2 linked regions of the Nothobranchius furzeri genome follow. The protein of the gene in region 1 binds, or shares a complex with, the protein of each later gene. Links are inferred from orthologs where the notes say so. Each region holds a gene or a part of one and is shown in the gene's direction. Other genes may lie near its edges.

Region 1 (4,141 bases):
CTTGCCTTGGGAAAAAAGAACTTTAGTTTATCTTTCAAGTGGTAAAGGTAATATTGAGTTAATTTAAGTGATTTAATAAAATGGAATCATTAGCTTTAGCATTACAAATGTGGCAACACGAACCTTTAAAATCAATACTGTTTAAATGGTAAAACAATGCCTTCATTCCATGTAAAAGCTGTCAAAGGTTAAAAAAACACGCTGCATTATGGAAGTTTAAGGTCATGTTTAATGGAAACTAACATTGTGGAGTAAATTGACTTTCCGCTGGTGTTTTTTAACCAGCGGACAAACAGGAACACCTAGCTTAAACCACGGCAACCCTCCGTTGAGCAACTAAACGTGCCTCTTTAGAAAGTACAAACTCTACGGTTATGATAAAGCTGGTTATTAAATCATAGCAGGGTAATAAACAGAGAGAAGGGCATGTTGGAGCTGAAACCTGGCTGAGTAGGGTGTGCCGAGAGCAGATGTGGACTGTTTATGGGTGTCTTCTCAGCAGCTAAACGCAGATGTGGAAACGTTTCCATCCGTTTAAACGCCTTTCTGCGGCTTTTAGGTCCAGAACAAGTGGTTTATTCCACCCGTTATAAAGTAAACTTGGTCAGAAGTGAGGTTACCTTTAATAACGTTGCTGTAAATCGTTGATCTGAAGTCTTCTCGGGCTTTCGCGTCGAAGTCATCGCCGTGGATGATCCGCATTTGTTTAAGGAAAGTCGACTTGCCGCTCTCGCCAGCGCCCAGCAGAAGGATTTTAACCAAGCGTTTCACATGCGTCTTCTCCCGGTTCAGACCTTTGTCGATCTCTTTAGACTTTCGTATCTGGTCCGCCTCTGCGTTGCTGAGCACACAGAAGGGTAGACAAACTTTTAACACAGACCTGGTCGGCAGGAAATCCGCCATGTTCGCTCAAACTTCATCGATGCTAATCTCATGCGCGTTCGCGTTGCGCGGGCACGGGACCAAGCCCCTTTTCCTAAACTCAGGAAGTAGCGTCCGCGGAACCGATAAAGGCAGTTTACCGATTTACCACCAAAGAACACTCGCGCCTCTGAGACTGTCCATGTGCAATTAACGTAAAGGTTATATATATATATATATATATATATATATATATATATATATACTCTATGAAACATTTAATATAAAGTGCAAGTGTCTCAAAACACGAGTTAAGTTTGAATAAATCCGAATCTACACACGACACAACAGCACCCCCTGCTGGTTGAAAATAAGACTGCTCAACACGCTTTCCCTCTTAGAGGAAAGCAACTCTCTGATTGGTTGTTTTATTTGTCCCTTGTAGATGTGATGCCTTCAAAAGTATAGGACATGGGAAAACTTCCAATTTTTACTTCGACGCTCCACAAAATAACAACAGGTGAAAACGAAAACAATAAATCCACTCATCGCATATATATGGTTCAAAATGTTTTCATATTTCTTGGTATTTTAAATGTTTAATCACTGAACGGATGTTTAAACAGAATAACAACAATCTTTTAGCATAGAACATAATTCCTACTGATTTGCTGTTGTTTTGTTTAACTAATCCAAATAAAAAGTTCTAACTTGAAGTTCAATATAACGTGAACTTGAAATCGAAAATATGTATGAATACATGTTTCTAAAAAATCCAATCTCCCGAACAAATGATGTGTTGAGACATTTGAACGCATCATCAGCATTGATCATATCGATTCCCCTCAAGCATCCTCACACGACACAGAGCTCACAGGCAACAGCAGCGTTATATTTAAATCTGTGAGTGTATAAAAAACAAACAGTATGACCATTAGAAACGCTCTCCGGGATCATGGACAGAGGTACCGACCTCGGATGGCTTGTCTCAAAAAGGTAGGCTCTCTGTTTTCATATAAACAAGACATAAATCCCAGCTCTGCCCAGGCTGGTAGAGTGTACTTGCAGACACCTAAACAGAAATCATGTGAATTCTCAATCTTGATGGTCTCAGGTGACCTCATAAATAGTTGTTTACAATATAAAACGTTCAGATTCTTCAGGTCCTGTAAGAATTCAGATTGTTATGCTTTTATTTCTTTTAATAAGACGCCAAATTCTGCAGGTGATAAATGAGTAACTGAATGCTTAAAACCATCATGAAATAAAAATGTAGTGCATTTGTTTGGATTACCTGTAAAATAATGTATACATGTAATAAAATGTCAAGATTAAATGTTAAATATCGTGGTAATTTAACTGTACCCTTTATTAAACTGGCCCACCTTAAACAAATTATTTTAACCTTTTCACAGTGCTAAGGTCATTCTGTTTAATAAGCATTAAGTATGGATCAGTATAAGAGCTCCTATATTGAGCAACAGCTTCTTGAAAGAAGTTAATCCAGATGAGGTGGTGAATACAACAGTCTGGTCTTGTAGTTTGGATGTAGACCCATTCATCATCTCACGTTTAAAAACATTCAAGAGCTGACACAGTCAGAAAGAATAAATGCTGAAAAACGTGATTAGCATTAAATCTGATTTATTTAGTGAATGGAAGGTGCAGACTAGAGCACAGAGTGAACACACTCTCCAGGGGAATGTGTCGAGATATGAGGAGAACTTTGAGTTCTGGTTCATGGAAGCTCACTTTGGACCTGCTCCGCAGAGGGCTTAGCCTCTCCAGGATCGACTTCAAAGCACAAAGCCACTTCAAACAGACCTGAGAGTCAGACGAACACTCACTTTCTCTTTTTCCTCTCTCACTTGCACACACGCTCACACACACTTTTACTCCAACTGCATCAAGTCTCTACATGATTTATTTTTTTCTGAGTTATTTGAGTTATATGGGAGCTGTGGGATCCAATATAACGGAAACAGTGTTTAGAAAGAAGGTGAGTCACTGCAAAACACCCACGCAATCCAAAGAAACGCAGAAGAGATCAGGGCATGTTTTCTCAACTCTTCAACAATGTTTTTGGGTTTAACATTGAATGGTCATGTTAGGAGAGTTCTTTAATCTCAATAACTGAATCATCTCACACTTTCTAATCTAATATCACGACAGTGCTCTATAAAATTACACTTTTAAAATCAGTAGCAATTTTATGTAGCTCTTGAGGTGTTTTATCAAGTTAACGATGCTGTGGATGCTTGACAATGTTAATAACTATCAATATATTGTTATTAAAATCTTCACATGTGAAAGAGTTTGGCAAAACATATCTAGTGTACATCTCAGTTAAAATTCCCAAAATTCACAAACACAATGTAATAATAAAAAGAACTGTTATTGAAATTATTTAGTCGTATTCGTTGCAAGCATTCTGTTCTGATGTTATGCTTTCAAAATGATGGAACCCTCCACCTCTTCTGAAGGACAGGCTATTGCTTTAAAAAGTCAGCTCAAGCAATGAGGGCAGAATGAAGGCAAAACAAACCGGTGGTGTATGTAAAGCAAAAACAGACCTCTGTTCAGTTTATTTTTTAAGTATGGCGCTCACACATGTTTTGGTGCAATGTGCAGGGATATTCACGGATATTCATTTTCTGAGCACTGACACTCCTAAGACACATCTGTACTTAAGCCTGATTTATGCTTCTCCGTCTCCGTCAGTGCGGAGACACGCAACGCCATTATCCGTCCTTGCGTAGGGCTCCGGCAGGCCCGCAAGTACGTACGGAGTCAAGCCCACTTTTTTAAACATCCGTCGAACGAGACGGATTACGCAAGCTTGTCATTGGTCAGGACACCGCTGTTGTTTACAGCGCCGCCATTGCAAAGAGAGCCGAGGATAACTAGCAGCAGACACGGAGAAGCTTGAAGAATACCTCGCGAAAAAACTCTAAAAATATGAACTTTTAATTCTCCCGTGACTGGAGGAGTGAAAAGATGCGCAGCAAGCGTTTTATTTGTGGACGGAAATGACAGGAAACGTGGGTTTAGAGGTGGGGAGCGCATGAAGCGGTGGGAGAACGAGAGACAAATATGTCCGTGTTAAAAGTCTCTTATATACACAAAAACACAATATAAACACACGATCTTGGACCGATACATGACAGGATACCACAGAACAGCGCTACGCCCTCTGTTGTCCTGCCGGACAATTGCTTTGCAACACTCTCCAGGAGACGGAGAAGTAAAAGAGCAAAACACTTCCATCAATCCGTGCATG
Region 2 (2,863 bases), on another chromosome or scaffold:
GCAAGAAAACAACATAATCAAATCAAAGTGAGATGTTCCTTATTAATCATTTGTTTTTAGTCTACACAGGGTGTAAATGTGTGTCTAACCTGATGAATCTCTGTTACCTGTCTGAGAACCAGAAAACCACAAAGGGCATCTGCTCAGGAAATTCACAAATTGAATTTTCGATGAGTTAACTCTGAGAGCCCAAGGTGGGTCTGACTCATTCCCAACACTCGAATCCAACATCTCAGCAATCGTGTTACAAGAAATCAGTCACGTTTAGCTTTCAGCAGTAAAGAGCAGGATTTAATGGCTTCCTATTCTTGCAAAAAATAACCCTGTAAGATATTATGCAGCAAACGTCACAGCCACGTGAACATGCAATTAACCCAATATGTGCATAAAAAAGAGATAATAATAACAAACATTTTCCAGAAACCAGTTGCTGCTTGAGTCCATTAGCTTTAAGCTGCAGCACTGGATCATTAGGCTCCACCCGCTTCAATAATGCAAAAAGAGCAAACCAGGCAAACACACCACACCAGCTCTCAGCACAGCAGGAGCCAACTCAACAGCACAGTGGCCAATAATGCGTGCGACAACTGGCATCCTCATATGGCTTAACGGTGTGTGCAGGCAGGTGCCACAATTCCCCAAATCATCGACTTTCATCAAACTGTTTAAAGCTAATCACCTAAAGTGAGGGCTGGGTCTGTTTCATCACAGACTGGGCTATTTTTTGATCTCCTCGGAGCTCATCTGAATCTTGTATGACTAAAAAGACAAATAGTTGAGGATAGAAGGAGATCCCTGCTGATGGACATCCCAGCTCTCCCACTCCAGGGAGGAATCAGCCAATGATAGGAGGCATCTGAAGCAGATCAGACCAATGACTGCGCAGCTGCTTTGTTTGCCTGCCTGCCTCTATCTCTGCGCCCGTCCCTGAATGGCTCTGGTTTTGTGCGCACATGTGACCACTGAAGGCGCTCTCTGGGTGCTGAAGTGGACAGCTCCCCGCGCAGATAAACAGCACCGAACCGAAGCACCATGGCTCGTTTGGCGTCCTCTTTCAGCCGCTTTGGGACTCTTCTCTCCTTTTACTGAGGGAAGAACCAGTTTCATCCAGCTGCGCGTCATTTTTTTTAAAACAATGGAGTCATTTTAGACGGACAAAGAGAGAGAGAGAAAGAGAGAGCGGCGCAATTAGAAGGCGGGTGGATGGTGGGGCACCTGTAGCTAGATCTGGAGCGCTGGAGGTGGGATTGTGTCCGTCCTGAAGAGGGACCGGCCCCGGGAGGTTTGATCTCGTGTCGGGGAAGCTTAAATGTAACCTAAAGCCATTTAGGTGACGGAAGCATTAATTTCTAAGCCGCTCTCTGGTGGCTGCCTTCACACAGGTGGGAGCATGGATAGAGATGCGTTTTCTTTGGCTGGAGTAGGTTCAGCGCGTCCAGCGCGCTTTTGTGGAAACTAAATTGAAACATTTCACCGCTTTTCCACGAATTCCCACCTCTTTTTGATTATTTTTCCACCTTTTTTAATAGGATACAATATTTTTAACTCAAACATGGGGAAAGAGGAGTGCAAAACCATGCTGGACGCTTTAAACAAAGTCACAGCCTGCTACAGGCACTTGGTCATCGCTTTAGGAAGCACATCGGATTCCCAGAACCTGCGAGAAGAGCTGAAGAAGACCCGTAAAAAAGCCCAGGAGCTGGCCGTGGCCAACAGGACTAAGCTGACCTCCTTGCTCAAAGACAAGAGCATCAGCAAGGAGGACCGCGCCGAGTACGAGCGCCTGTGGGTGCTGTTCTCCAGCAGCATGGAGCTCCTGGAGGTGGATATGAAGCGCTCCCTGGAGATAGGGCAGGAATTCCCCATCAAGGTGCCCACGAGGCACTTCATTCAGACGGGGATGACAGGTAGCACCAACGCGGTGGCAGCCCGGGCCATGAGCGTCCAGAACATGAAGTACGAGGCCGACAGTAACATCGATACGGCGGACCTCCGGGACCTGCAGACCGAGATCACGCAGGTGACCCAGATGGTGGAGGAGATGGAGATGAAAGTGCAGGTGGCACCGTGGGCAGTCGTGGCCAAGCAGGAAGCAGGAGCCGAGCTCAAGTCCAACATGAGCGTGGGAAATTCCTCCGTTGGCGTCATCTCCATCTGCGAGGAGGAGCCCAAGGATGATGAAAGCGGAGGCGCCAGGGAGGGGAGATCCGCGTCCATCGGAGCCGTGGTGGTGTTCTTTGTTATCGTCGGGGTGGCTTTGGTTTTAGGATATTTAGTTATCAACATGTCGTGAAGTGTATCTGAGCAGCCCGGATGGACAAACAGCAGAGCAGGGAGCTCACTACCGGAGAGGAGATGTCTAGGAGGAAGATGTTGTCAAAGTTAGACAATCCCAATTCTGAATGTATTCTGCTGGGTTCAGGAATATTGCACTTGATGATAGTCTACTATAGTGACTGGTGGACATAGATCCTAAAAAGGTGCTTTTGATGGGAGGAATAGGTCGTTACTTTATTTTTGGGAGGATACATAAAAAGTGCTAAAATGATCTCACAGTGTCTGGCTATCACCTTGATGATCCGAACACCTAATCCGTGTGGATTAGGTGTGGAGGTAAAAAAAAAAAGACCAAGTGTAAATCTAGCCATGCGGTATCCCCGTTCAGCTGACTGATGCTTTAGATGTACGAATCCAATCAGTCAAACGTGCTAGGGCTTACCCCTCATCATCACGGATGTAAATGATCAAATCTGCACGATTTAACACATTTCTAATCATCAGTAACCCGGCTGGCACACCGGGACCCTCTAATCTGAGGTTCTCGTGTGCTGCACGAGGCTCTTTGGACCTGTTTTAACACAGC

The links.
Region 2: rgs9b (region 1) and regulator of G-protein signaling 9-binding protein share a complex: the UniProt entries of both Homo sapiens proteins name them as parts of the RGS9-1-Gbeta5 complex. The link is inferred for Nothobranchius furzeri from reciprocal best matches to the Homo sapiens genes RGS9 and RGS9BP.

What each region holds. Positions count from the first base shown.
Region 1 is NC_091756.1:45,187,568-45,191,708, forward strand, and holds the start of rgs9b (regulator of G-protein signaling 9), read left to right. Parts: upstream 1-1,341; 5' UTR 1,342-1,788; coding exon 1,789-1,857; intron 1,858-4,141. Other genes in the region: guanine nucleotide-binding protein subunit alpha-13, read right to left, coding at 621-903. UniProt on the Homo sapiens protein: Inhibits signal transduction by increasing the GTPase activity of G protein alpha subunits thereby driving them into their inactive GDP-bound form. Binds to GNAT1. Involved in phototransduction; key element in the recovery phase of visual transduction.
Region 2 is NC_091749.1:55,570,829-55,573,691, reverse strand, and holds regulator of G-protein signaling 9-binding protein, read left to right. Parts: upstream 1-1,416; 5' UTR 1,417-1,552; coding exon 1,553-2,293; 3' UTR 2,294-2,363; downstream 2,364-2,863. UniProt on the Homo sapiens protein: Regulator of G protein-coupled receptor (GPCR) signaling in phototransduction. Participates in the recovery phase of visual transduction via its interaction with RGS9-1 isoform.